Macaca fascicularis: one gene and its partner. The protein of the gene in region 1 interacts with the protein of each later gene in a biochemical or structural test. Links are inferred from orthologs where the notes say so. Each region holds a gene or a part of one and is shown on either strand. Other genes may lie near its edges.

What was found.
Region 2: the proteins of PJA1 (region 1) and NSMCE3 form a complex in vitro, tested with the Homo sapiens proteins (2 studies listed by BioGRID). The link is inferred for Macaca fascicularis from reciprocal best matches to the Homo sapiens genes PJA1 and NSMCE3.

Annotation. Positions count from the first base shown.
Region 1 is NC_088395.1:75,887,387-75,903,434, forward strand, and holds PJA1 (E3 ubiquitin-protein ligase Praja-1), read right to left. Parts: upstream 10,153-16,048; 5' UTR 10,049-10,152; intron 8,126-10,048; 5' UTR 7,902-8,125; coding exon 5,967-7,901; 3' UTR 5,527-5,966; downstream 1-5,526. UniProt on the Homo sapiens protein: Has E2-dependent E3 ubiquitin-protein ligase activity. Ubiquitinates MAGED1 antigen leading to its subsequent degradation by proteasome. May be involved in protein sorting.
Region 2 is NC_088381.1:8,202,851-8,218,286, reverse strand, and holds NSMCE3 (non-structural maintenance of chromosomes element 3 homolog), read right to left. Parts: upstream 9,742-15,436; 5' UTR 9,628-9,741; coding exon 8,728-9,627; 3' UTR 8,078-8,727; downstream 1-8,077. UniProt on the Homo sapiens protein: Component of the SMC5-SMC6 complex, a complex involved in repair of DNA double-strand breaks by homologous recombination. The complex may promote sister chromatid homologous recombination by recruiting the SMC1-SMC3 cohesin complex to double-strand breaks.

The DNA of each region.
Region 1 (16,048 bases):
CTGCACGGCAATAATTGTGGATGTGCCTCATGCTGGGTATAGGCTGTCTAGCGAAGTATCTGATGGCTGTGCCATAATTTATTAAACCAGGCCCCTAGTAATGGACATTTAAATGCCTTTCTGTCTCTTGCTACTACAAACAATGCAACAATAAAGATACTTGTACAAACAACTTTGTGCTTTTGCACATGTAGCATAAATTCCTACTACTGGAATTGCTGGGTCAAAAAGTATGTGGATTTTAAATGTTAATACATTTTACTAAAGGGCCCTTCAAACAAATGGTAACAATTGACACCCCCACCGTCAAAGACAACCCGACAATGTAGAAAGGGCCCATCCTACACTCCCTTTCCTTACCTGTTTGGTGCCTCTGAGGCCCAGCCCTTCCCAGCTGGGCCAGCCAGGCTCTTTGCTCTCAGGTCACCCTGTGCCTGCCTCCACATTGCCTTTCACAAAGAATATGGCAAACCTATGTTTGTCTGTCTCCCACACTGGACTATGAGCTTTTTGAGGGAAGGACTAAGCCCTACTCATCTCTTGCAGGCCCCAGTTGAACACACCACAGGCAGGAGCTCAATCAATATTTGTTGAGCTAAACTAGCCAACTCTGAACCTCCGTTTTTGAGTGCAAGAGTGGGCAGAAATGTGTTTGCTGAATGCAATTCGAGCATGGTCCTGACTGAGCAGAGCCTTGGGCTTGGTTCCCTGGGTCCCTGCAGATCTGTCTCCATGGGTTCGGTGGCCCAGTCACACACCTCTGACTATGAGCAGACACTATCTGCTAGTCCCCAGTTCTATGTATGAATTCTTCTACGTATGTGTCTTGTTTCTCCTCTTCCTCCTACCAAAGTGCCTGACTTCTATTGTCTGCGTGCCCCTGGGCTGCTCTTGCCCTGGTCCCACAGTGCTGTGCTTGGACGCAGGTAGCACACAGTGCTTATGACCAGAGTGCCTGAATGGGGTCTAGCTGCAGCCAGTTGGGGGTTCTACATTGACGTCCAGATCCCCAGGTGCTCCCCACCACGCTGGGACTAGGATGGATGGGGAGAAAACATCTCTGCTGCCCTCCCCCACCAAGCAAACATGCTCTTGCTCTGTCTTCAGAATGTCATCACCTTTCTGAACATTGGTCTCCTTACCACTCACCTGGGGTTGATGGCAGGGTCTAGTGAAATCAGTGAATGCAAAGGGGTCTGGGGAAATCTTATCCAAATGTGAGAGATTGTGAAGTCTCACTAATGTTTTACCACCCTTCTTGAGATAGTGAAGTACCCAGGGAGGAAACAGGAGGAAGGGGGGCCTCCAGGGGTCAGCAAAACCCACAGCAAAGGGCCTAGCCACTAAGTTCCAGGCTGCAGAGGCATATGCCAAGGCAGGCTGAAAGGGTTGCCCAGGGGTCCCAGAATCTGGCTTGCTCCACACCAGACCTTGTGCAAGGCTGGGACCGTGTCGGCAAACACCCTATCAGCTTCATTTTATTCAGAGGTTCAATCCAGGCCAAAGAGGGGTGTGCTGAAGCTTGTTGCCATGTATTTCTCCATCTTCAGATAAATGCCACCTTCTCTCCACAGGCCTTGGGTATGAGAACAGCCTCTGACACACTGGGGATTCCACAGGACAAACAGAAAATGGGATAGAGTTTGAGGGTTGAGAGGGTGGCAGGAGGGGAGGGGGGCGCCAGGGCCTCAGAGGCTGGGGGTGGGAGTGGGGCTAAGCTTGGTCCAAGTCCCCATGACCCCTACTGCGTTCTCTGAACACAGCCCCTGCTTGAGCCTACCTTGGGAGAGGAATCTATTCACGCTGTCACCCAGTGTTGCAGAACACTTTTGTGCCAAGCAGTGCATGCTGGGACTGTAGAAATGGCTCACACATAGCTTTTGACATCAAGAACTTAGAGATGGGAGACACAGAGAGGCAAGGAGCTAGGGGATATTGAATTTTTCTTTCCAGGAGCTGGCAAATTAGTTTTTTTTTTTTTTTCTTTTTTTGAGATGGAGTCTCGCTCTGTTGCCCAGGCTGGAGTGCAGTGGTGCGATCTCGGCTCACTGCAACCTCCACCTCCCTTGTTCAAGCCATTCTCCTGCCTCAGCCTCCTGAGTAGCTGGGACTACAGGCGCGTGCCACCATGCCTGGCTAATTTTTGTATTTTTAGTAGAGACGGGGTTTCACCACATTGGTCAGGCTGGTCTCAAACTCCTGACCTCGTGATCAGTCCACCTCAGCCTCCCAAAGTGCTGGGATTACAGGCATGAGCCACTGCGCCCGGCCACAGATGAACTTTTTAAAGGATGAATAAAATTTAAACAGAGCTGGAAAGGACACTTCAGGTCAGAGATCCCTAGGCACTTCCATGGAAGGGTTTCACTGAAACAAAGGGCTAAGAGAAGGGTAGGGCCTTAGGGCACAGTAAGAGCCTTCTAATGGTTCAGCTGTAGTGCCAGCTGGGGAGACCACCTCAGGAAGTTACAGTGCTCTCTTGCAAGATGTAGTGCTTTATGCCTCAAATGATTGACCAAATCCGGGGTTTTTTATTTCACAGCCAGAAAACAAGACCAGAAACCCAGAAGTAAAGTGTAGTGGGTGATACCTTCAATGAATACCCAAACAACTTATTTTCATAAATGACTGCTTCATGTCTGGAGGCCCCTGAGGCCTGCTGTTCTAAAACCATGGCCCTGGGTGCCAATGACAGGTCCACTGCATCATAAACAGAAATTGCCTGACCCTTGGCCATGTGAAATATCTCATATGATGAGGAAAACAGCCACAAAAGTGGGATATGGTATTGGCAAGTACTTGGGGTTCCTAGTTACAAACAACAGAAACCAATGCTAGTTTAGTTGAATCCGAAAAGTTTTATTGGAAAGCTATAGAGGAGATTGGGGAATTGTCAGAGAGGCTGGAGAATCAGAAACTGGCAAGAGCAAAGGAACTGGGCAGCCAAGCACACAGCCACATCCTGCCATAGGAGCTATTGGCTGCCAGCACTGTCAGCACGGGACCCACATCACTGCCACCCTGTACCACTGCTGCTGCCGCCCCTGCTGCCACCACCATCATCACCACAGCAGCATGGGGACAAATGCTTCAGGATCCCTGCTTCTCTGACTTTCTCCCTCCAGCCTTAAAGTACTGGGCACGAGTGTATGATGGGCTTAGTTCATGTCCCAGGTCCAAGTCACAGCTACTCAGGGCCCCAGGAGTACAGGTCCTGGGGCCTGTGGGCTTTCCTGGTAGAGCACGCCTCAAGTCCACCAAGACACTGCAGTAGCAGGTTGCTCCAACACACCAGCAGGGGGCTTTGAGCACTGGGTAAGTGTCCCTTTCTGTTTCTGTGCAGAGACTAATTCTGACTAAAAGGCAAATTAGGGTCACTGCTATGCAATAGCAACAGAAAGGAAGATGATTAGGACCCAAGCGTGCTCCTAAAACACCTCCTTAGGTGGTGCCAGTCAGAGCACAGCAAAGGTTAATGGTAAACCTCCAAAACCCCACCCTAAAAGGGCTCTCCAAGGACTCAGACTCCTGAGCCTCCATAACCAGCTGAGGTGCTGGCTGAAGGCCAAGGGGAAACCTAGAATGACTTGTGAGGGATGAAGTCATAAATATCAGCTTGACCAGTTGCAGAAAAAAGAGCTGCAGTTTCAACCCACATTTCTGTACTTGCAGTGAGAGAAGAATAACATCCTGCTTTTCCTAATTGGAAAATTTTTTGATTTTGCTTATTTTGTTGTAATAATATTCATGAAAATGCACTGACACTGTAAAAAATATGAAGCAAATTCATTATTTCAGGTGAAAGACAAAAGCCTCCTTCCTGACTGCTTTCCCCCAATCCTCCGTCCCTCCCTAGAGGTAACCCCTGCCATCAGTTAGGCATGTCGCCTTCCAGACATTCTTAGGCATTTTCATATAAAGTTTGGTTTTGTAAGGTTTTATTTTACACAAACACTGTACATATTACTCTACACTATGCTTTCATAACACTGTCTTGGAGATCTTTTCGTATCAGTACATCCAACTTTTAACTGCTGCATAGTTTTAATTCCATACTAGCAAGGAACCCAGGTTGGGCTGAAGTGCACGCACCAATTGAATATGCTGATAGATAGCTACTACCCAAACTGTTCTCCAAGAAGACCGCTATAGTTTATATGCACACCAACCCCATGAGTCTTTTCATTTCATCTCTTCCTAGCCCAAACTAGATATTATCATGAAGAAAAGCTATTGGCTTCTGATAGATGTAATATGTTTCATCGGTGTGTTAATTTACATGTCACCGATTATGAGTCAGGTTGAACTTGAACAACATCCAGCCTGTTGGAGATGTGCGGAAATAGCACTCAGAAACTGTCAGTAGGAGCATGAACAAGTACAATGACTTTGGAAAGCAATTTGGCAATATCTAGTTGGGGTGAAGATGCTCAAACCCTAGAACCCAGAAATTTCACTTCCATATACTTACCTCTAGAGAACTTCACACATGTGCACAAAAGGACATCTGTTTAGTATGTTCATTGCCGCAAAATGCTGGGAAGAACCTAAGTGTTCACCAGTAGGGAAATGGATAAATAAGGTGTGGTAATTCATACAATTAATATTTTGTATACAGCAGTTAAAACTGCATGAACTAGATCCACATATATCGGAATGGCTAAGTCTCCAAAACACTGTTGAGCGTAAAATTCAAGTTGCAAAATGATATATATAGTCTATCAATTATATCCATTTAAAAAACATTAATACTGTATTTGATTATGAATATATACACACATATACATACATACACACACTCATATATATGTCTAAAGACACACACAAGAAGTAAACACACCATTTTCTGGTGTGTTTCTTACCTCTGTGTAAGAAAGAAGGTAAATATTATGGGCTGAGGAACTTCACCTGTGCTTAAAAAATATATATTTATTGGAGAGAGAAAGAGAGAAGAGAGGGGTGGCGGGAGAGAGAGAGAGAAAGAGAGAGAGAGAGAGACACATCTCTGAAGCAAATATAGCCAAATGTTAAAACCTGTTCACTCTGTGTAGGTGAGTACCTGTATTTTCCTGTAGCACTTGTGTGGCATATTTTTTCTATTCCTATCTGTGTCACTGTGTTAAGCTATAAAATTCGCATATAGCTTTATTTTTTTGGACCCATTCCCTCTGAGAGTTTCTATTTTCTCAAAGGTGATTTCAACTCATTCATCCCTACATTCAGTTTGGACTTAATCCTGCCATTGTTTTGTTTCTTTACCATGCTTTCTTATTGTTTCTCTCTTTCCTTCTTTGTTTTCTTCCTTCTTCATCTATTTGACTTTTTCCCTGTAGTAGCTGGACAACCATACACTTTATTCCTACTTTTAAAGTCACTGCCCTCATTTTTTTTTTTTTTTTTTTTTGCGATTGTTGAAGTCAGCATTTCCAGTGAAACTAAAGTTTTTGATGCAAATGCAAGGGATCAATTATAAAGTCATTCAGTACCACTGTTTCAGACAAAACCAAAGAATTCCATTACACCATGTAAAACCAAAAGAAAAACTTTAATAAGCTTTTACAGCACTGCAATTACAGGAACATCGACCCATAACATGCAACAAAAATGATTTTGCCTTTTGGACATATTTAACAGATACACTTGACATTACAAGTAACAGCAACACATTCTACTGAAGAAAACAAATGCGATTTAACTTTCAGGTTAGAAAACGTATGTTCTTACTGCAATCTCAAGTAGCATTTATAAAGTTTAGTTTTCCCTTTTCTAACCTCTAAAAGATGATATGATTTTTAATGCAATCATACACAACTGTTTTCACATTGGAAATAATCACGAGGAATCAATAGGTTTAGGCTAACTGACTGACTGGTTTTGTTTCCATTGTTAATTTCAAGAGGGCTCCTGCAGTATTGTGGATTTCAGATGGGGAAAATAATCAGACCAGGAGTAAACAACCTTGGTCTTTAGAGTGGGGGAGGGAACATGCAGCGGCACACAGGGCAGGTGCCTGACTTCTGAAGCCAGATGGACACACACGGCTTGTGGAAATAGTGGTGGCATGGCAGCTCAGTTGCCACCTCCCCCTTCACATATTCGCTACAGCAGATGGGGCAGCACATCTCCTGACCAACTGCGCCATGATCTTCAGTGACCAGGATCTCGGGAAGAGCGTCAATGCTCTCCTTGCTTGCTGGTGGATTGGCCACCTCCACATCCACTGCAAGAGACTCCAAGTGTGCAAGGGCAGTTTCCATTGCCTGGGCCAGGCGTTCTTCAAGTGCCATGTAGGTGAGGAACTGAGGATCCACATAGGAAATGGCTTCAGCCACTCCTAACCCATCTGCAAATCCATCAAAGAGGCTCCAATCCACTTCTAGGTCTTCGCTCACACTGGAGTCATCTTCAAGGTTGTTGTTCCCATCCAGCATGAATACCCCAGGCTGCATCAACTCATGACCAGAATCATTATCCCCCTCACTGCTACTCTCATTCTCATTGTACTGGAGCCAAGGAATTTCTCCTTCTTCCAGGGATGCCTGCTCTTCCTGAAGAGATGGTTCTCGAACTTCTTCAAGGTAATTGTTGCCATTGCTGCCAGCACTGGCCCCAGCGCCAGCCCCGGCACTGGCACTAGCACCGGGGCCGGGGCTGGCGCCAGTGCTGGCACTCACCTTAGCCTGTGGAGGTTCCCGCTCTTCTTTCCCCGGCAGAGTCTCCCAGCTTTCGCCACTGGAGGACAGGGCTTGCTCTCGGCTTCGATATTTCCGACGCAGAGCAGCAATCCACTCTTTGTCACTGTCAGAGTCTTCCTCGCAGTATTTGTAGTAATCATCACTGTGCGTCCAGAAGTCAGGGTCGGCCATGGTGTGTCGTCGTCTCGGCACCTTTTCTGGTTTCACTTGGTCACTCCTCACTTCCCGTTTGTCTTCAGGGTACTTTGGCTCAGAATAGCCACTTGAACTCTCGCCTCTGCCTCTTCTTGCTGGGCCATCTGAGTGGCCTTCATTGTCATTGGCAGTATCCCTCCACCTGGAAGTACTGTGTGGCATATCATCATCATCATCAGTATCAAAAAAAATTTTGGGTTTCACGCAGTTTGGACTTGCCAGGTTTCTGATTTTGGGCCTGACCACAGGTTCCTCTGCACTCTTTGAGGTGTTTTCCCCACCACCACAAATACTCACAGGAGCCCTGCTGGGACGTGCAGGTAAATTTTGCTCCCTTTTCTCCCTCTCCAAGCTGTCACCTTTTGTAGCCACCTTGCCTTCAGCAGAAGACGACTGTGAGGCCACACTACTTTGTGGCAGGAAGTCAGCTCTGCTAGCTGAGCATCTTGCTGCAGGGACTGGGTCTAACTTGTCTCGCTCCTCTCTCACATCACGGCTAAAACTAGAGAACTGTGGAGGTGGCCCAGCCAAAGACCTTGCCCCTTTCTCTGGGTCATACAGCTTATCATCTTTAAACTTGCCAGTTTTTCCTCTCGCTGGCGGTCGCTCAACAGGCCCAGCCCCCTCCTCCTCACTATCATCTGCCCCATAAGAGTCAATATGTCCATAGGTCATTCCTCTTCTGCTACCCGAAGCTCTGTACTCTCTTGGCGGATACCTGGAATAGTCCTCATTATCAATATTTAGGTTGGTTCCCGAACTCTCGCTGTCGTCCCAACTACGACGAGTAGTGGAAAATGGCGATCGGCTCCTCTTGGTGGTTTGACTGGAGGCTGATCTGTGCATTGGGACTTTGGAGTTCGTCTTTCTCTGGCTGGCAATCCTTTCCCGCTGGCTCGTGGGTGGCCTGAAACTGACATAAGCATGCCTTCTTCCATACCTCCTACCTGTATTGGACTGATACCCTCCTGTTGGATTGGGCCATACAGGCTTGCTAGATTCCTGACCCATCACTCTGACTTAGGAGGGTTTTCAATACAGCTGGGGCTGGGGCAGGAAGATTCCTGCTCCCTGCACACGTTTTTCAGATGGGAAAGTAAAATCAGTTTAGAATAAAGGAGCAGGGAGATTTATTTTCACTTCAGCAGGCAGGTAACTGAAAGAATAAGGGGCCTTTAAATTTAGTTTCACTTTCTTCTAAGGCCTGGAGTAGCATTCCAGTGACAGGTGTAGACCTGGAACACATTTTTAATGTTGGCAAAATGATTACAAGACTGGGTTTGCAGGAAAGCCAGACTTAGGGGAGAATCTGACGGAAGATGGGGGGTGACCGGACACTTGGAAGGTGGGTGAAGTACTGTAGAATTGTGCCAATGTGGGGAAAGGAAAGACTGCTGTAGTTTTCTTTTTATGGGGTGTCTGCCTTTTTCTGAGTGCTGCAAACATACAGGAGAAATGCAAATTGGAATAGAGTGGAAAATACAGATCGCTGTGTGCGCACAAGTGCCTATGTGTCTATCAAGAGGAGAGGGACAGGTGGAAGGGGACCAGCAATCCTGCAACAGAGGGATGTTTATGTTTGTAGGGGGAAAGGGTATGAGTGTTAGAATGATTCTGGATGTGGGTATGAAAATGACAGGCATGGGTGGGGTGGCTTTGGAGGAGAGGGGTGTGTGTATGTATGAGGAAAGGGAAGGTGTTTATGTGTGTCGCTGTATGTGTGGCAGCTGAAACTACAGAAGGATGCCCATGTTTATGTGTATGTCACAGGCAGGGGAGTGTATGGTTGGCAATGGAGAGGAGTGTCTGAGAGTTTGTGTGTGCGTATGTTAGTCAAAATGGGAGGCAACAATGGAGAAATGTCAGTGTGAGCAAATGCAGCAGGCACAAACGGAAGCGGGGGTCGGGAGTGGCGCAGCACTGGAGACGGATGCGCTTGAGGTGGATGGAACAGAGGCCGGCAATCAAAGAACGATGCCTGCCTGTGTGGATATGGCAAGCAGGGAAGCAGGTGGTGTCCCCATAGAAGGATTTATGTGAGTGTGTGTGTGCACCTCAGGGACCAGCGAAAGAGCTGTGTCTGACACACGTGGCAGAGAGATCAATAGAGGAGAGCATTTGAGGAGGGGGTATGAATGAGCACATGTGGCTGTATATGCATGTCACTGGCCAGCAATAGAAGGATGTCCTTATGTGTGTATATGACAGGAAGGAAGAAGGAGAGCAGCCTGAGGGGGTGTGTGAATAGGCATGTGTTCGCGAGAGCACGCAGAGACCGAGCAGGGAGGGGGCCGGTGCTAGAGGTGTGTATGTGGTAGGCGGATAGAGGAGGGGGAAGGCATGGGAGGATGTGAGGGTGTGAGGGTGTGTGAGAGGGTGTGTGAGAGGGTGTGTGAGAGGGTGTGTGCTGCGTGTGCCTGCGCATGCGCGGGAGAGAAGACGCACTGGAACCTTGAGGATGGAGGGGCAAGGAGGGGGCTGCAATGGAAAGCTTCTCTGCGGGGGCGCGTGCTCGCGAGACACGGAGGGGTGTGGGGTAGGGGGTACGCAATGTCATAATAAGAGGTGGGAAAAGGCCATCAGCTCAAACGGGAGACCCAAACCGATGTAGCAGGGAAGAGGCAAAATGAAAGAAAAGGGCGTGCGTGGGTCTAGTTTTCCCTGAGAATAATTATTTTTTCCTCCTTACAATTTTTTCCCTGGGAACAGTATTTTTACCTAAAAATCTTAACCATTTACCATTTGGCAAAACAACAGCAAAATATGGGAAGAAAGGCCACGGAGTGCTCCGCAAAGGGGCCGAGGAAGGAAGAAGGAAGGAGAGGGGAGGAGAGGCAGGGAGAAGTGGGAGAGGGCCGCGACCACCACTACCCTCCCAATAGCGATGAAAGCCACTCGAGTGGGGACCGCGCCACACGAAAGGGGTTCCCGGCAGCGGAGGATGCGGCCCCAGAACAGGCCGATGTAGAACATGGGCCTCACTCTGCAGTCAGGTCCCGCGTCCGCCCCACCCCTTCCCGAGGGGCGAACCTGAAAAGCAGTTCCCAGGAACCCCGCAAAATCCTCGTCCCCGTGCCCGGCCACTCGCACTGCGCCCGACCACTCGCGCCACCGCCAGCGCCCGGATGAATCGAGGAAACAATCAGCCTTTCACTCACCAAGTCCAGAAAGCCACACGCTTTTCAGAGAAGCAGAGCTCTCGGACCTCCGACCGCCACGACCGCCAGAGCCGCTGCTCCCGGTCTCGAGCTCCTCCCCCGCCAGACAGCAGCGGGGCGGGTGGCGACTGCGGCGGCGGAAGTGATTGTGAAGTCAGCTGGAGCCCGCCCCCTTGATGTGGCGGGGGCGGCAGCTGCTTTCCACAAATCAGGGTGGGCCCGAAAGCATTATTTCATCTTAAATGATGAAATCGTCAAGGATACAGCAAAGGACAGCGAAAAATGTCACGAACACCCAGCTTTAACTAATGTTAAATATTTAGCTATATTCCCTTCTGTGTTTTTTTTTAATAAAATAAAATCTGCAAATTCTTTCTGATTAAGTCCAATGTGAGAGTAATTACGTTACTACATCACATCCTATGTTACGTGTTATGGTTGTACCGAAAGTATTAAACCTGTGAAACTATATTTAGGGTTGCAGTAAGCTTAAATTTTTTTAACCTTATTGTTAAAGCAAACTGAAGCTGTTTAGTGTTGAATTTGTTGCTGCTAATCACAAAACCAAGCTTCTCTATTCAAGAGATCATAAGACACAACACAGGTTCATATTCTGGTATTGCATTGCAGTTAAAACATATTACAGTTATGCCTTTTGGATTTATACCATTTTACTGAATTCTGAAGTCTTTAAATTGCGCTTTATAATGGAACTCTAATATTTACAGCCAATGTAAACATTTCCTATGTTCACAACAGTAGCAAAGTTTTGTTCTTACTGGAAACAAAATGCACAAGAGAACAAAAATCTTAGGGGTAGCAACATAATAGAAATAGAATGTATAACTTTCAAACCATTAAAGTAATAATATGTGGAACAAAGAGAAAAACTCATTCTGAACAAAGGTCAAGAAATGTTGCTGGGGGTGTGCAAAAAAAAGGATGCAAAAAGTAAACAAAAACGCAGGAATCTAAATATATCAGCATGCATTATGGGTTAACATCTCCTAATAAAAACCAAACTCTTATTTTGAGGATTTTGTTTTTAAAAGTCAAGTTATATACTATTTCTGTGAGTTTCACCTAAAGCAGAAATAGAAAAAATATATATATGACAGTAAAATACTAGCAGAAAAAAAGGAAGGGAGGGAGGGAATGAGGGAAAGAAAGAAGCAAAAAAAAAAAAAAAGAAAGAAAAGGAAGGAGGAAAGAAACTCGTAACAACATCAATATCCTAAACATCGAGAACTCAGAGTAAAAAGCACTAAAGAGAACAAAACAGGTTGTTTTATTCACTCAGAAAGATACGACAAGCTGATGGTGTGTGCCTGTAGTCCCAACTACTTAGGAGGCTGAGGCAGGAGGATTGTGTGAGCCCAGGAGGTTGAGACTGAAGTGAGTGGAGATCACGCCACTGCACTCCAGCCTGGACAACCAAGCAAGATGCTGTCTCAAAATAATGATGATAATAATAATGATAATAATAATTGAACTTCATTGGCGAGAAATCTGAAGCTATCAATTTTTTAAATGGAGATACATTTTCTTTCTTTTTTTTTTTTTTGAGATACATTTTCATCTAGCAATTCTACTTCTAGTCAACTTCTCTGTTGTGTGTTCTATTGAGACACACAAGTGGAGAAAGATATGTGAATAGGAGTGTAGCAAGATAATGCAAACCACTTTAATTCTCCTCAACAAATAAATTGCTTAAATTTACTTAAACATGTTGCTTGGTGGCTCATGTACAGACATGGTGGCTGACACCTGTAATCACAGCACTTTGGGAGACCAAGGCAGGAGGATTGCTTGAGCCCAGGAGTTTCAGACCAGCCTGGACAATATGGTGAAACCCCATCTCTGCAAAAAAATGTAAAAATTTCCTTGGCACAATGGCACATGCCTATAGTCCCAGCCACTTGGGAGGCTGAGGTGGGAGAATCACTTGAGCCCAGGAGGTTGAGGCTGCAGTGAGCTAAGATTGCGCCACTGCAATCCAGCCTAGAAAATAGACTCAGACCCCGTCTCAAAAAAAGAAAGAAAGAAAGAAAGAAAGAAAGAAAGAAAGAAAGAAAGAAAGAAAGAAAGAAAGAAAGAAAGAAAGAGAAAAAGAAGAAGAAAGGAAATAAGGCAAGTATATACATACTGATCTAATATAAATATATTAAGTGAAAAAAGCATGTTGCAGAACAACGCATTTTTTTAAAAAAAATATGATAGTCACAAAAATTTATGTGCCAAACAACATAGTTTCAAAATATATAAAACAAATACTGTTAGAAATATAAAGAGAGATCAGGAAGTCTGCAATTATAGTGGGAAACTTCACCTCATTTCTTATGGTATAGATAAATCAAATAGACTGCAAAATAAATAATGATATGAGGAAATGGGACAATACAATATACTGAATGTATATGTATTTTTGTTTTCTGTTTTTTTGAGACAGAGTCTTGCTCTGTCACCCAGGCTGGAGTACAGTGGTGCAATCTTGGCTCACTGCAACCTCCACCTCCCAAGTTCAAGCAATTCTCCTGCCTCAGCCTCCTGAGTTGCTAGGACTGCAGGTGCTCACCACCACACCCAGCTAGTTTTTGTATTTTTTGGCAGAGATGGGATTTCACCATGTTGACCAGGCTGGTCTCAAACTCCTGACCTCAAGCGATCCACCTGCATCGGTCTCCCAACATGCTGGAGTTACAGGCTTGAGTCACTGTGCCCAGCTTGTATATGTATTTTTGGACTCAAGAGAGGATACATTTTCTTTATAAAATATTTTTAAATATGTCAACTATACAGAAAAGTAGAATACAAAATACACATTTGAATGCACCTGTCACATGGATTGCGCAAATTTTATTTTCTCCAGATCCTCAGATCCTTCTGTTTTTGAAACAAAATAGTACAGTTGAAGCTCTCACTTCATCCTATTCACTTGACCTCTCTCTTGAAAATAAGCCTTATTTGGAAGTTGATGTGCTCTCGTCTTGTTCATGTTTGTGTGTGTATATATATATATATCTATGTATAGATAGATGTGTATATATGTATATGTGTATATGTATGTGTATGTGTATATATATACATATATGCATATATGTAGTATATATTTACAGATGTGTATATATATATCTGTGCATATATGTAGTATATATTTATAGATATATATATATCTGTGACCAATACACAATTTTTTTCATGTATTTAAATTATGCAAATGGTATCATTATAAATATATACTTTTGCAACTTAGATTTTCACTCTATTGATTTTTGAAACTCAGCAATTTTGATACCTGTAGATCTAAGTCATGCATTTTAACTGCTGAATATTACTGTATCAATTATCCAATATATTACTATAACGTATTATTGTATGGCCTTCTTTTGCATAAGTTATCTAATTTATCTCTTTTCCTACTGTTTCTGTTTTGTGCAATTATAAGTGAGGATTTCAATGAACATCCTAGTGCATGGCTCCTTGTGCCTACATAGAAGAGTTTCTTCAGGGCAGAGCTTCCCAACTGAGTTATAAGTGTTCTGATATATTGATCCCCTTAGATCTACAGGAAGGTAGCTCTGGCTTCAGCAGCTGCCCCTAGGGACTGTTGCCTCTGGCCAAGAGCACACTGTCTGTTTATTCCAATGAGCTGACACAATATTAGCATTTTAAATATATGTTCTGATGTGAAAAGGATTGAAATAAATTGCTCCAGTATAGAAACACTGAAATAGAATTTCTTGGTCAAAGAGTATGTTGTAGTTATCTATTGCTGTATAACAAATTTCCCTAAAACATAGCAGCTAAAAACAACAAACATTTATCATATCACGGTTTCCATGGGTCTGGAATCCAGGCATGGCTTAGTTAGGTGCCTCTGGCTCAAAGCTTCTTATGAGGTTGCACCCAACCTCTCATCTAGGGTTGCAGTCTCATTTGAAGGCTCAAGTAGGGTAAGAGGTCCACTTCCAGGCTCTTTTACATGGTTGTCGACAGGCCAAAGAAGACCCATTTCTAAGCTAATTCATGTGACTGTTGTCAGACTTTGTTTCCTCGTCATGTGGACCTATCCGTAGGCTTCCTAAGTCTCCTCACAGCATGGTAGCTGGAGAGAGGGAGAGAGAGATCCCAAGAGGAAAGATGCAGTGAGAGCCCATCACTTTTGCCATATCTTATTCATTAAAAACAAGCCATGGAATTTGTTCATTTTATCTAAGTTACCAAATTTGTGGCCATAGAGTTGTTCATAATACTTTGTATTATCCTTTTAATGTCCATGAGGTCAGTCGCAATGGCTCCTCTGTAATTTCTGATATGAGTAACTCTGTTTACTCTCTTTTTTTCTTGGTTAGTCTGGCTATAGGTTTCTCAATCTTGTTGACCTTTTCAAAGAACCAGCTTTTGATTGTATTATTTTTTCTCTACTATTGTTCTGTTTTCAATTTCATTGATTCCTGTTTTAATTTTATTGCCTGTTTCTTTCTACTTACTTTGGACTGAATTTACTCTTTTATTTTCTAGTTTCCTAAGATGGAAGCTTGGGTGATTTATTTAAGGTCTTTCTTATTTTCTAATGTATGCATTCAATGCTACAAATTTCCCTGTAAGCACTGCTTTTGCTGCATCCCACATATTTTGGTAAATTATCTCAAAATACTTTAACATTTATCTTGACACTTCTTCTCTAACCCATGTTTTATTTGAAAGTGTATTGTTTAATCTCCAAATACTATATGATTTTCCAGCTATCATTCTTTTATTGATTCCTAATTCAATTTCATTGCGGTCTGAGAGGATACTTTGTATAGTGTCTATTCTTTTAAATTTGTTGAGGCATGTTTAATGGCCCAGGATGTAGTCAATCTTGGTGAATGTCCAATGTGAGCTTGAAAAGAATGTGTATTCTGCTTTTGTTGGATGAAGTTATCTATAAATGTCCATTAGATCCAGTTGATTGATGGTGCTATTCAGTTCAACTATATCTTTACTGATTTTCTGCCTGCTGGATCTGTCAATTAGTGATAGAGTGGTGTTGAAGTCTCCAACTATAATTATGAATTCATCTATTTTTTCTTGAAGTCCTATCAGTTTTTGACTCATATATTTTGATGCTCTGTTGTTAGGCACATACACATTGAAGATTGTTACGTCTTCTTGGAGAACTGACTCCTTTTTCATTACATAACACCCCTATTTGTCCCTAATAATTTTCCTTGTTCTAAAATCTGCTGTGTCTGAAATTAACATAGCTAATCTGGCTTTCTTTTGATTACTGTTAGTATGGTATATATTTCTGAATCCCTTTACTTTTAGTTTATCTCTGTCTTTATACAGTTGGTTTCATGAAGATAACATATAGTTAAGTCTTGTTTTTAAAATCCATTCTGATAGTCTCTTTTAATTGGTGCATTTAGATCATTCACATTTAAAGTGATTACTGATATAGTTGGATTAATATCTACCACACTTGTAGTACTTGTAACTATTCCCTATTTGATGCCCTTGCTCTTTTTTTTTTTTTTTCTTGTTGATGGAGTCTTGCTCTGTCACCCAGGCTGGAGTGCAGTGGCTCAATCTCGGCTCACTGCAACCTCCACCTCCTAGGTTCAAGCGGTTCTCCTGCCTTCACCTCCTGAGTAGCGGGGATTACAGGTGCCCACCACCACACCCAGGTAATTTTTGTATTTTTTTAGTAGAGAGGAGGGTTTCACCATGTTGCCCAGGCTAGTGTTGAACTCCTGACCTCAGGTGATCCACCCACCTTGGCCTCCCAAAGCGCTGGATTACAGGTGTGAGCCACCATGTTCAGCTTTTTTTGTTTTGTTTTGTTTTGTTTGTCTTTTTGTTTTTTTGAGATAGAGTCTCACTGTGTCACTCAGACTGGGGTACAGTGGTGTGATGTCAGCTCACTGCAGCCTTGCCTCCCAGACTCAAGTAATCCTCCCACCTCAGCCTCCTGAGTAGCTGGGACTGCAGGCACACACCACCATGCTCAGCTAA
Region 2 (15,436 bases), on another chromosome or scaffold:
GGTGTGCACAACCACACCCTGGTAATTTTTGTATTTTTAGTAAAGACAGGGTTTCACCATGTTGACCAGGACAGTCTCGATATCTTGACCTCATGATCTGCCCTCCTCGGCCTCTCAAAGTGCTGGGATTACAGGCATGAGCCACCGCGCCTGGCCAATATTTTCTCTCTTTTTGTGATGTTAGCGGCCATTTTTAATGATGACTTAGACTAATTAATTTATTAGGGTTTCCAAAATAGTGCTAGTCTCACTCTGTCATCTTTTCTTTATGAATAAGAATACATATAGAGACAGAGACTTTTATTCATCAACTGTTTTGTTACCCTGAGGTATAGTTCATATAGGAAAAGCAGGATATATACTCGACTCTTTCTGTTCATTTTCCAGGTTTTAAAATAATTTTAAACTGCAAAATAAACTCAACGAAGTCTATATGGTTAATTAGCACTCTTTCTGCATCTATGTAAATAATTAGGCCAAATCTAATGAAGAAAGACCCTTTTTGTGATGGAGAGTAACCTTTAAGATTAATATGATCAAGAGGCAGGGAGAGTGGCATTAAAACTTGTTAAAGAGCAAAAAAAAAGTCACTGGATATCCTGTCTAATGCACCCTTCAGGGTTATTTCTGCCTTACAATGTCTTTTTGCTATTTCAAAACTCTGCATACAACTGATAGTTCATCAACTGATAGTCGTATAAAACTGATAGTAGAGCAAATGATTCTTGACGATACAAATGTAAAGGAATTTTGTCTGGTAGCATGTAACTGATTATTGCCCCACTGATATTGACCACTTTTATATTTATTTGTAAATTTATTTCAGCATTCCTGATTGCTTATATGTGTGCAGTGTTTGAATTAGCCTTTCAACTGCTTGTAACTTCTTACTGATTTCCTCATTAAATAATGAGTTAGACATAGTCTTTGACACATGTCTATTTTTTTAAAAAGCTGATTCCTGGCTGGGCACAGTGGATTATGCCTGCAATCCCAGCACTTTAGGAGGTCAAGGTGGGTGGATCATGAGGTCAGGAGTTTGAGACCAGCCTGACCAACATGGTGAAAGTCCGTCTCTACTAAAAATACATAAATTAGCCGGACATGGTGCTGCGTGCCTGTAATCCCATCTACTCAGGAAGCTAAGGCAGGAGAATTGCTTGAACCCGGGAGGCAGAGGTTGCAGCGAGCTGAGATCTTCAGCCTGGGCAGCAGAGTGAAACTCCATCTCAAAAAAAAAAAAACGCTGGTTCCCTAGCATCCTCCAAAATTAACAGTATCATGAAATACTGTTTTGTCTGTTTACTGGAGAGGGGAGTGAGTTTGAGCCATTGTGAGCCAAGAACTTAAACACATTTGATACGTTTTAATCATCTGCGTCATTAGACAGAGAGAGTCTAACCAAATACTGTATATTCTCACTTACAGGGTGGGAGCTAAACTTTGGGGACACACAGACACAAAGATGGGGACAACAGGCACTAAGGACTCCAACCGGGGGTTGAGGGGAAGAGCTGAAACACCACCTACTGTGCTCACTAACTGGGTGATGGGATTATTAGAAGCCTAAACTTTAGCATCACGCAACATACTCAAGTAACAAACCTGCACATGTACCTCCTGAATCTAAAATTTAAAATAAATATAGTCATACATAACAAAAAAACTGCAAACAAAACTATAAGGTTTTACGTAACCATATTAATTTTACATCTGTATCTCCTTTCAACCATGCCAAAAACTATTCTTTTTTTTTTTTTTTTTTTTTTTTTTTTTTTTTTGAGACGGAGTCTCGCGCTGTCCCCCAGGCTAGAGTGCAGTGGCACAATCTCGGCTCACTGCAAGCTCCGACTCCCGGGTTCACGCCATTCTCCGGCCTCAGCCTCCCGATTAGCTGGGACTACAGGCGCCCGCCACTGTGCCCGGCTAATTTTTTCTATTTTTAGTAGAGACGGGGTTTCACCATGGTCTCGATCTCCTGACCTTGTGATCCGCCCGCCTCGGCCTCCCAAAGTGCTGGGATTACAGGCTTGAGCCACCGCGCCCGGCCCCAAAAACTATTCTTAATATAATTAATCTGTTGGATTTAATTTCACAATATCCACGCAAGTCTCAAAATAACAACGCCAATACAACTGCCAAAAAAAATGACTGAAAATAGTTTAAGATTTATATTTCTTTTTATTCTTACAGTACATTCTACCAGAAATAGTCAAATTATGGTGTTTTAAACTCACATGGTTCCTTTATGTGTGGTTATGCTACTGATCAGGAACCCAGGTTAGTTCCTTTTATTTCATTTTTTCTTGTTTAGGAATTGTTTCTAAAACTGAGTTTCATTTATAATTATATAAAATTATTCTAAAGTCAGGTCTATAAGTGAAGTTTCACATAAGTCTAGCCTTTATTCTGTTCCTCCACTCTATTTCCTCCCTTCTATTTTTTAATAGATAAGCATTTATTTTTTAATTTTATATTTTATCCTTCCATCTTTTTTTAATAAAACTATATAACAGCAGCATAATACATACATTTTCTTCACTTACTTTTTTTGCACTTAATATAGTGAAGATCTCGCTATAAGAACATACAAATAACCCTATTCCCTTCTACAATTGCCTAATACTTCATGGCACAGATGAATCACCATTTTTTATTATTTATTTATTTATTTAGAGATGGAGTCTCGCATTGTCACCCAGGCTGGAGTGCAATGGTGTGATCTCAGCTCACTGCACAAAGGACAATACTAAGAAATGCTTTCTGCTAATTATATCAGAAAATATATGAAAACATCTTCTAGAAAATATAAGTGACCAAAACCAATTTCAAAAGAACAAAAAAACCTGAACATAATCTTGAGAAAAATATCAGTAAAACTCTACCCACAAAAAAACAGCAGGCCCACAGCCTTTCACGGGTAGATTTGTTTCAAACTTTCGAAAACATCTAATCTTCCGATAATAGGGCAAAAGGCAAGTTCCCCAACGCATTTATAAGACCACAGGTTTTCTATTTCTTGAACAATTCAGTGCAATAGCCGTTAAGTGGGACAGAACAAGTTCCATGTCCTGGGAGAGGCCAAGGTCACCTGAGTGGGGTGAAAGCTCTAGCAACGGGAGAAGGGTGACTGCACAGACAAGCCAGTAATGTGGGACATCGCAGCCCAGGTGGGAAGCTAAGCGCACCCATGTGGGACGGAGTGGCAGCGAGGATAGTGGATTGGTTATTTACAAGGTGAATTAATCAAATAAGGAAATATGGCAAAGATAATAGGTGCTGAGTTTCTCAAACCAGAATACACACGGTGGTGCTGTATTGCAAATGGCAGTATAATGTAATCTCATAGTCTTCAGTGCTGTGTAGATGACTGATAGATAGATATCCTATAATTTCGTCACCTAGAGGGCTGGGAGCAATGATATTCCCAGTAGGCATGAGCGAACCTAGCAACCTTGTTTCTTTTTTTTTTGAGTCTCGCTCTGTCACCAGGCTGGAGGGCAGTGGCACAATCTCGGCTCACTGCAACCTCCACCTCCTAGGTTCAAGGGATTTTCCTGCCTCGGCCTCCCAAGTAGCTGGGACTACAGGCACACGCCACCTCACACCTGGAATCCCAGCACTTTGGGAGGCCGAGGCGGGAGGATCACGAGGTCAAGAGATAGAGACCATCATGGTCAGGTGGTGAAACCCTGTCTCTACTAAAAATGCAACTTTGTTTCTCAATTCCATTCTCCACAAAAAGAAACCAGAGCTCTTTAGGGAAAGGATTAATTCCAGGTCTAGGGCAGGGAGAGTTAAGACTGAACTCCTGGCCAAGCACGGTGGCTCACACCTATAATCCTAGCACTTTGGGAGGCCGAAGCGGGCGGATCACGAGGTCAGGAGATGGAGACCATCCTGGCTAACACGGTGAAATCCCCATCTCTACTAAAAACACAAAAAATTAGCTGGGTGTGGTGGTGGGCACCTGTAGTCCCAGCTACTCTGGAGGCTGAGGCAGGAGAATCGCTTGAACCCAGGAGGTGGAGATTGCAGTGAGCCGAGGTCGCACCAATCCGAGCGGAACTCCGTCTAAAAAAAAAAGACAGAACTCCCTCTCTTTTGGTGCTATCAAGTAAGGAAATGCTCAATAAATGATGTTGGGGGCATGTTAAAGATGCAAAAGCCAGCTTTAAGGGGCTCCCACTGGCCAAATCAGGGACAATTTGAGTATCGGAATATGTAATGATAATAAAAGATTAGATAATAAGTTAATGATAAGAGACCCATGGGTCTACACAAAGTCTCAAAGTATCTCCCCCCAAGTTATTTACCTTAAAGGAGAAAACTTCGCAGTGGAGGCACATGACACCTTAACCAAAGTGATCAAAGTTTCAAAATAACAGGACAAATTGAAATTTTGTGCCACCTGATAGGATCCAAAAATAACACAGCATTGCTTCTGTGATATTCTTCCCAAAGATGCATAATTCAAATCCGATCATGAAGAAACAGCAGACAAACCCCAGCTGAAGGATGTTCTACAGAAAACAGGCCTGTATTCTTCAAGTGAAGGTCATGATGGTCAAGGAAAGACTGAGGAAATATTGGATAGGAAGGAGACTAAAGAATCATAACTAAATAGTTCAGGGAACAAATTATTTTGCATTGGGCTTGCAACTTTTCTGTAAATTTAAGGTTATCTCTAAGTAAATTAGCATAACCTCAAAAATAATGATAACATATGAAAATTAAAGACTAAACCCCCTTATGTCAAAAGATGCAAAATTATATATTTTGAGCTATATGTATTTAAAAATTTTATCAACAAGTGTTTGGCTCCAAAATGCAAGAATGTTTAGATATCAGAAAACTCTATGTGTTATTATACCAAATTATATGCCCAAAAAACAAATTTACAGAGTAAATAAGAAATTTTAATCATATTAGCAGGTGAATAAAGAGCATATATAAATCTAAAGTCATTCGTAGTTTTTCTAAACATCTCTAAGCAAGCTAGGACTGAAGGGGTAAATAAATAGCTCAGTAAAAGGTATTTATAGGGGAAAAAAACTCTAACAGCAAACATCACACTCTATGGCAAAAGTTAAACATTATTTCCTTTAAAATCAAGAATAAGGAATCAGAAACATCTTTACAGCCTGCTGTAACTGCTTCTTTTCAATAAGATATTGCACTTTCAGCCAATGCAAAAAAGACTAAAAGGCTTTAAGAATCGAAAAAGAAGACACATACGATGCTAAAGAATTATAGGCTGGGCATGGTGGCTCATGCCTGTAATCCCAGCACTTGAGGAGGCCGAGGCGGGCGGATCACCTAAGGTCAGGTTCCAGACCACCCTGGCCAACGTGGCAAAACCCTGTCTCTACCAAAAGTACAAAAATTAGCCAGGTGTGGTGGCAGGTGCCTGTAATCCCAGTACTCAGGAGGCTGAGGCAGGAGAATCGCTTGAATCCAGGAGGCAGAGGTTGCAGTGAGCCAAGATAGAGTCACTGCACCCCAGCATGGGCGACAAGAGTGAGACTCTGTCTCAAAAAAAAAAAAAAAAAAAAAAAAATTAAGAATTATAGTATGGTATTTGCAGATGGATAGCAAAGAAACCAATTCAGTCCTATCCATAAACTTATCTATAGATGGGACATTGCTATAGAATACTGAGTGTCATAAATCAGTGTGAAAAGAATAAATGATGAAAAATTGGTGCTAGGCTATCCATATAGGAAAAAACACAAAAACTATTTCCATGCCTCACATCATACACAAAAGCAGATTAAAAGCATAAAATGTGCAGATCAAAACTTTGAACTTAGGGGAAAAATGCAGAAAACATCTTTACAATTTTAGGATTAGGGGAATTTTTTAAAGCACTATACACAAATGTAGCTCTTATAAACACTGATGATTGTTACACATTAAGGTCAAATGATCTGTATGACCAAAAGAAGTGAAAATGTGGGAGAAGGTATTTGCACTAGATAGATAGAGCAGACCATGGATTAACATGTAGAACATATAAAGATGTCTTACAAATCAATAGAAATGTGTCTAAGACATGAAACCTGACAGTCAAAAAGAGTGAGAGTAAAAGATAGGCAGATACTTAACATCACTAGTAAGCAACAGGTACAAGTTAATACCGTAATAAATGATTATTTCACACTACACCAAAATGGCTGAAAAGATATTGAAAAGGCCAAGTGTTCACAGTGGGTGAAGGTTGAGGGATTGGCAACAAAAACAAAACAAAACTGTGTAAAATGTTGGTAGGAGTGTAACTTGACACAAGCTCAAGAACAGTTTGGCAATAGTCCCTGATTGCTCCATTTGTTTCTGGCTGGAGAAACTCACACATGTGCCTAAAGAAGTACTGTACAATGCCTGCAAATCTCAAAGAACTGGAAAGACCTTAACTGTCTAGCCATTAAGGAATGGATAAAGTTATTTTTCCCCCATAAAAGAACAATTAAAATGAGTGAATCAGGTCTATATATATCCACATGGCTGAATCTCAAATACATAATGGTGAGTGAGAACAGCAAGTTGCATAAGGACACACGTAATACCGTTTATATAAATCATGAAAGCCCACAAAATAAAACTCTATATTGGTTATGTATCTATACATGTGTAGTAAAATTATACAGTCATACAACAGCCCGATAGCCGCAGACTTTTGTTATCTCTGGGGAGGGTGAGAAGGAAAAGATATAAGGCCTTGATGTGGCCTCTTATGTTTCATATTTTAAAATTTGAAACAAGATTATCGATGGTAAATTGTTAACACCTCTGAGAAAAGCGGAGGGAATTTTGCCTCAGATATAACCGGTGGTGACTGCAGGGTAACAATTTTTATTATACAGGTGAGAATGTGAGTATCAGAGGGCACGAGGAGGAGAAAGCTGAGTCAGGGAGGTCACAGGACCAGGAGGCAGGAAGCAATTTATACACTGAAATAAAATGCAGATCAAGAAGAAATGCCTATAAGGACCAAACATCTTCCACTGATGAAACAAAGGCAAATCCCAATTCAACAGAATGAAATAAAACCCAGCAACCTATCACATTCCTCCATACTCACTATAGACTCTTTTAAATGACATTCAGTCCAGTGTTGATGAAGTTCACTTTTTCCCCCCCGAGTGAAAAATATCTGCCTTATTTCAAGGTTAATTTGCAGCACCTCCCCCTAAAACAATTATACTTATTTACCCACTGAATAAAACGTGTTGAATCTCTGCATTAAAAACAGCATCTGCTACATGTAATGGAGGAATACAATGGGACTATGAACTCTTCTAGTTCATCTAGTCCATAAAACAAACTATTATATAGCTATAATTTTTTTTCATTTTACAGGTAAAGAAACTGAGATTCAGACAGCTTAAAACCTACCACCATATCACCATGCTGACAAGTTAGCATGAGCCGTAATTCAAATTCAGTTTGCCAGACAGCCCCAAGACCCACACCTTTTCCCTATACCTAACTCCCTACGAGGTTGATCTTATGTCCTGCTCTCACTGTTCTATGTGGGCTATACTCACCATACACTTTATACTTATTTCCCCATACAATAGAGTCAGACTAGCGGAATATACCTTTTGAACCAGTAATTGCTCTCCTAGGAATCATTTGGAAAACAAGATAAAGAAAAGTTGTATTTAAAAAGTGGCAGCTCCAGACCGAGAATAAAAAATAAAAACATTAAAGAATAACAAGCAAATTCCTCCACATCAGGGACTAAACCCATTTTACAGGTCAAGAAACATCTGCATACAAACTAAGGAACCTACGTAAATTCCTATACTAGTGACGGTGGGGCCAGGATCTGAACCCAGGCAGTCTGATTCCCAAGCAGGCATGGTTAATGGTTACGCTATTGTTTTATAAGCCTTTTTGGTATCCACAGTAGAAATATATTTTACCTCATGATCCTGTACACACACACACAAAAGTAAAACAACTTCTACAAAACAACATTGACCTCAATATGTTGCAAAAACTTTAAGACGCTGATTTCGTCATGAAATTGTCTCATGGCCCACGATTTAAAAAACACACAATGCTTCAGTGCTTCAAAAATACAGTATTTATTGTAATAACTAGAGTAGCATGTAAAAAAAACTAAGTGGAACTGCATGTTTAGCAACACAGCTGAGTAATTATGAATATAAACAATTGCTATTTGGAGAAAATACACCACGTTCATTGCTTGGAACCATGAATAATACTTACATATGTAGGAAATATAGAAAAAATAAAATAGGTTAAGGTAATAAGGATATAGGCAATTACGTTTTTATTTTTAATTTTATAAAGACTTTTATTTTTCCTTACAAACTGGGATGCTTAAGAGACCCGATAATAGCTACTTTTTTATTTTCTTGGCACCAAAGCAACTTACTTATGTGTTCCTTCTGGCATATCTGTTTCAGATCATAGTCAAGTTTTCCAATTCGTTTTACTAAGCTAGGAAAATTTTTTATACCAAAAAAAGTAAAATCAAAGCAAAACAAATGCTCCTTTGTTTATAGATGAAAATCTGGAACCAAATAACACAACATTAAAAGAACAAAACTTTGCAAACACATCCTAAAGCTACACACATTGAAACGCTACAGAAATACGCTTCCTGGGTTCGTTCTCCCTTCCCCCGCTCCTCTGCACTGTGCCTTTGGGTCTCAGACCCTTGTCCCGGGGGTCCCTCTGAATCCACCTCAGATTTCAAGAGGATGGGGCTGAGCCACTGGGCTGAGGTCTGGCCCTGTTCTCCTCATCTGCCAACGCCTCACAGTACTGCGCTGGCCAGTCCTTGGGGTCTTGATTATGGACTTTGGCCACAAACTTAAGAACTTTCATCTTGCTGGTTTCCAGGTTGGTTCGCGGGCCCCACTGGAACTCGTAGTCCACGGGGTCGGTGTGGGGTATCCGCCGGTATTCCAGGTAACGTTGTCGCACAAAGTCCTCGGTAATGAGTTTCTTTGGATCTCCGAAAATGAAATGCTTCTTGGTGGGGTAGACCCCTAAGCGCCGCAGAAAGTCCCAGACTTCAGTCTCCTTGACGGTGTTGCCCTTCATAAAGATGAGCCCCAGGACGATCATCAGGAGGCCCGTAGTGGGCGTGCCTTGGTCACCCCTCACCTCGGCATCCTCCTCCACCGGCTCCAGGGTGTTGATGAGGATGTAAGTGTTGCTCTTGGGTTCAAGTTCCACCAGCTTATAACCGAAGACGTACTGGAGGCGCTCGGCGGCCCGTTTGAGGAGGTCGGGGAAGATGTCCTTGTAGTCCCCGATGACGTGCTTCAGTATGTCGGCCCGCTTGATCGGAATCTTCTTCTGGTCCTTAATCAGTAAGAACTGCACCAGCTCGGACACTTTCAGCTCCTGCTGCTTCTGGGTCCTGGGGCCCACGGCGGGGGAGGCCTGGGACCGGCGGGCGCCCTGCGACCCCTGCGAGCCGCCCGGCCCCCGGGAAGTGCTCGGGGCCTCCTCTGCGAAGCCGTCTCTGCGGGCCCGGGCGTGTTCGCCCGCCCGCGAGGCCCCGGAGTTTCCGCCACGGCTCCAGTCGCTGTCCCTCTCGGCCTGGCCGCCAGAGCGACCCCGGTTCCTCGGTTTTTGCAACATGTCACCGGCGACGCGTACCGGTGCACACTCCGGCAAGCAAGCAGCCGCGGCTGGGATCGCGGGTCGGCGACCCGCTAAGGCCGCTGCCTGGGCGGGGCCCCAGAAGGGGCGCGCAGTGTCGGCTGAGACTGCGTGCCGCGTCATGAAGCCTGCGCCTTGCGTCACGGCGGCTGGGCGGTGCGCCTGCGCGGCTGCGGGGCTGGGGGTACCAAAAGCATCCGAGATTTCTGTGCAGCCCTGCAGGTCTGGTCGGTGAATTTCAGTATAGCGAAGTGTTGTTCTTACTAAACCATGCAAGCAGAGAACGAGAACCGAAACTCCTAAACAAGTGTGTCGCTAAATTCAGGACCAGACAGGCTCAGGCAAGTTTTACAGACGGTATTATGAGTTTCTAATTCTAAATCGGGAGCATTTGTAAATGAAAAGATCTCACAGGATGAATGTGTGAGAAAGAAAAAAAAAAAGGTGAAGAGGAAGGTACGACCGTGGAAGTAAAAGCATTTATTTCTACACAACATGTAGAAGGATATAAAAAACCCAGAGGGCTCTTAGTTTTCGTCCCTCCGCTCAATTTTATACCCTCCAACCCACTGCCCCCAGTTACTTTCTCTAATGCCCCGTGGAGTTTGTTAAAAACAAAAGTCTGCTGCAGGCTTTCCGCGCAAGCAGGACTTCGGTTTCACTATTTCCGTATGTGTATTCTCTGCATTAAACTCCTTTAGCTAGACAACTATGAGAAAACCCCACAAAATTTGTCAATATTAAGTAAATGTTTTAGCTTGGTCAAATGAGTTTATCCTTTGGAAAACAACTGCCTTCAGCTCACAGCCACAATTTTAGCAGAAATGCGTAAGAGGAATGCTGCAAACGTGCACTCTCAAGAGATTACCACTTAATTTTGGGCATCACTGATCAAGAATTGCAATAATGTGGATCTCTTAAATTTCTTAATTCATAATATATTAGCTTTGAGAAAGAAAAGAGAACACAGGGGTATTTATCCCTCATCTATGATGTGTGCAGTCTATGTATATTTTAATTGTGCAACTCAAGTAGCCAAAATGAGTCATTTCATTAACTCAAACCATCAGCAATCTGCTGCCATTACTTCTACAGATCTTAGCAAATTTGTTTCTTCTCTATTTATTGACTTGCAAAGAAGAAACTGAATTTCCCTGTGTCTTTTTAAAGCTACCCAGAAAGTGGATAAACTCTTCAAAGAACCAAATCGAGTTCCTCTTTAATGCAAATATATTCAAAGGAAAGCAATTTAGAACACATTATCTGAATAATAGCATCAAACACAACCTTATTAAAATTTTGTTAAATGTTAGTAGCATAACACATTTGTTTGTAATTCAGTAGGAAAATGCAATCTGATAATGGCACTGGAACTGCTATAGTAAATGTAAAATCATATTCCATGAACTAATGCAAGTATGCTAAAATCTGATACGCAGTGAGTAATAACTTACTGTTCCACACAAGATACAACTATATCCTCAGGCATCAAGCTTAATGACAAAGGCCTACTACGAAAAACAAATATATTATCAAGGTATTCATTTTTTTACAATGAGAAAATTCATCTGCTTCAGTTTCCTTGCAAATTAAAATTTGGACTTAGGTTCATAAAAGCTTCCTGCCATCTAGAATTCTGCAAAAGGTCCCTACCACAGGATGTGGATGGTCTACCTTGAGTCAAAAAAGTTCGGTGACCAAGATATAAGGGGAAAGTGGAAAATTAAATAAAAGCTATTGTCAACAACTGGGCTGGTTTTTCAATGCTGTTTCTTGCTAAGGTATTCACTTACGTCACCAAGCAGTCCACCAATCAGGCTACCCCCATGACTGTGAAAATCAGCAGTGTCCTCTAGCAGCACTCTTACCTAGACAGCAGACTGTCATTACTCAAAATAGAGGAGAAGAGATGCCAGTTTGTAAGTCTGAAAACATCTCTCTACGCTCTGTCCAGAGGAATGCAGGTGAGAAAATGCACCCATAAAATAAGAGTATTAGAATTAGTATTAGAATTAGTATTAGTATTAGTATTAGCGTTAGTATTAGAATGAAGTTTAGGCCCTGCATGGAGAAGTCCCACATTCTTCTGCATGGAGAAGAAGACCCACATTCCACCTTGGATTAATACTGGAAGCTATGGATGTTTGGGGAGAAACTGGTGAAAACAATACTAACATTAGTAACAATAATATAAACGACAACAGTCAATGATTATATAGTAGTTGCTGCTCCATCTCCATGTCTGCAGTTTCACTTTCTTTGGTTTCAGTTGCCTGCAGTCAACAGTCTGAAAATATTAAGATATTTTCAGAGAGAAATCACAATATAACTTATTACACTATATTATATTTTTTCTACTTTATTGTTAGTGTCAACTGAAGGATGATGAGGTTCATAAATTTGGAAAGAGCTTTATTTCTCAAAGAGGGTTGCAGTCTGCGGGGTGGCCATTCCAACAGCCTGGGAAGCAAAACCTCATGCTAGAAGCCAGAAACAGACACTTCAATGGAGGGGCAAAGGGAGCACGAATCTATGCAGAGTGGGGTGGCCAAGTATACATATTTAATAAGCTATAGGAGGAGTCATGAATATTTACGCAAGGAGAAACGTGCACATGCGCAACTGCACTTCATGCCTCTCCATGGGACCCATATTCCAAAACTGGCAGTGTTAGCATGATCCAGGGTAGGAGTTTTCGGACCCTCTGATATCAGAAGGTGAAGCAGAGGACATGAAAACCCTGACTGCATGTCTTCCATAGACTGGCCCTAACTACTCCATGGTTGGTAGTCTTTTACCAGGAAGAACTGCTGGGCAGTTGTGCCAAAACTCCAAAAGGGAGGGGCAGCATCAGGTGGCTGGTTGATACCAGCGGTGGAGTCTTGAAGGGCTGATTTCTGTTTAGCGCTTAGGGAAGAAAGCCGAATGGCATTTAGAGCGGGAGAGGGTTTCCAAGGTTATTCTGGGGTCCCCTTGGTCAAGAAGGGGTCTGTTCAGTCAGCTGGAGGGCTTAAGTTTTCATTTTTGTTTCTCATTAATTATTGTTAATCTCTACTGTGACTAATTTATAAATGAAACCTTTTTTTTTTTTTTTTTTTTTTTTGAGATGGAGTCGCACTCTTATGCCACTGCACTGGAGTGCAGTGTCACGATCTTGGCTCAGTGCAACCTCCGCTTCCCACGTTCAAGAGATCCTCCCATCTCAGCCTCCTGAGTAGCTAGGATTACAGGTGTGTACCACCATGCCTAGCTAATTTTTTTGTATTTTTAATAGAGATGGGGTTTCACCATTTTAGCCAGGCTGGTCTCGAACTCCTGACCTCAAGTGATCCATCCCTCAGCCTCCCAAAGTGCTAGGATTACAGGCGTGAGCCACCGCTCCTGGCCTAAATTAAATTTTATCATAGGTTCATGTAACGATTAATGTTGAGTGTCAACTTGATTGGATTGAAGGAAGCAAAGTATTATTCCTGGGTGTGTCTGTGAGGGTGTTGTCAAAGGAGATTAACATTTGAGTCAGTGGACTGAGAGAGGCAGACCCACCCTCAATCTGGGTGGGCACCATCTAATCAGCTGCCAGCGCGGCTAGAATAAAGCAGGCAGAAGAACGTGGAAGGACTTGACCTGCTGAGTCTTCTGGTCTTCATCTTTCTCCCATGCTGGATGCCTCCTGCCCTTGAACATCAGACTCCAAGTTCTTTGGCTTTTGGATTCTTGGACTTACACTAGTGGTTTGCCAGGGGCTCAAGGGTCTTCAGCCACAGACTGAAGGCTGCACTGTTGGACTCCCTATTTTTGAGGTTTTGGGACTCGGACTGGCTTCCTTGCTCCTCAGCTTGCAGACAGCCTATTGTTGGGGCTTCACCCTGTGATCATGTGAGTCAATACTCCTTAATAAACTCCCCTTTATATATATATCTATCCTATTAATTCTGTCCTTCTAGAGAACCCTGCCTAATACAGTATGTATCTATGTATAGGGGAAAACATTGTGTACTTAGGGTACACAATGTACCTAATTGTGTGTCCATGATTTCAGGCATCCACTGAGGGTCTTGCAACACATCCTCCACAGATAAGGGGGGACTACTAGACAAAGTGAACGGTGGGTCAGACCTTATTCCAGGTAGTTTACAGGTATGACTTCATTTAATCCCCACAACAAACCTATGAGGCATGTGCATTTATTATGTTTCTCTTCTCACAAACGGGCACAGGAGAAAATTGTGAAGTTTTGAGGGTCTACAGCAAGTAAGTGGTAGGTCTGGGATCTGAACACAGCCAATCTGCCTCCAGAGACTGAGCTTTTAACTGTATACTGATTCACAGCAAACAAAAAAGCCCTTGAAAAAGTAAGGGCTTTTGGATCAGATGAACTAACATTAGAAACCTGTATGATACTGGCAGAGCTACTGACACACCTCCACGCTTCAGTCTCCAAGTCAACAAAATGAGGCCTAATCCTGGCATCAAGATTAAGTGAGATAGATTTACCCAGTACCTAGCACAGGGCCTGGCAGGGTAGTTGGATAACAGTCTCCTTCTTTCCAGGGATTTCTGTTAAGGAAAATAGTTGAGGACTACACAAAGTTGTATATACTGCAGGGGAGACAAAACCTTCCCTCCACCCTTGAAGGGACATGTCCTGTAAAACTTAAATGAAATTTGAATGCTTTTCTCCTGTTAATCTATTTTACGTCCATTTAAGTCTCAGGTCCAGCTGGGACCCTTCGAGGGTGGGGGGTGGAGCGCTCGTTAGGGAAATGAAGACCCAAAGAAGTGGCAAAACCTAAATGCTTTTACATTTGGTTGAACAAAGAGAGGTAACTGTGGGAAAAGTAAATTATGTGGGGAGGATAAAGGGAGATAATTATTTTAACAAAGTTGTTTGTACAGAATTCACTTGGCTTTGACTCCGCATTGAGTAATGTTTCTTTCCTCTTGGTACAGTAAAGCTATTTTTCACATGAGAGTTTTTTATCTCCTGTTTTCAGGAAGAAAAGAGGGAATTCAAATGGCCTTCTTGCATCTGCTGTTTTTCAAGTGCCTTTAGCTCAAAGTAATCCTTATGCCAAAGTGGCATATTCTGGGCATATTCTGCCATCTTTCAGTAGAACGATGAGAAAGATGTTCACTGCAGCAAAACACATGTACACAAAAATCAAAAGGGCTGAAAAGAAATACATCTATCAAGGTGCTATTAAAGTTAATTTGCTTTTAAAAATCAAAATCAACCCTGATTTTCTTGCTTGGGAGATGAATGAAAAATATATTTTCAATGAAGTGTCACTTCAAAGTGACACTATGCCATAGCAGCTATGCACATTCACATGTTCAATAAATTCAGTGTGATTTGAATATGGCATTTGTGACTTTCTGTTCAGGCAGTGAAGTCACAAAGACAAGTGGTTAAAAAAGAAAAACATTTTCAAACACTTTATGTTAATGACCTTCATGCTTTTATTACTAGACCCAAAAGAAAAAATCAAAATTCTTTGAGGCAAAAGCTAAGCTAGCTAAGATTTCAAGTGCAAAGGACAAGGAAATGCCTACTACAAATTGCTCTTTAGATGTTTAGAGTAATTAAATGTTTTGTCTTTTCGATAGCAAATGCCTGCCAAGAAACTCTAATCATCTTTATTATCTACTAGATTCTCCTCTTCATTCATGGTATTTCTCGTGAATCAGAAAAACGCTTTAATTTTTCTGACAGCAACACAGTGCTAAAAGCAGGTGAGGACTTTTTAAGAAGAAAGGCAATGATCAAAGCATGCAGCCACCACATATG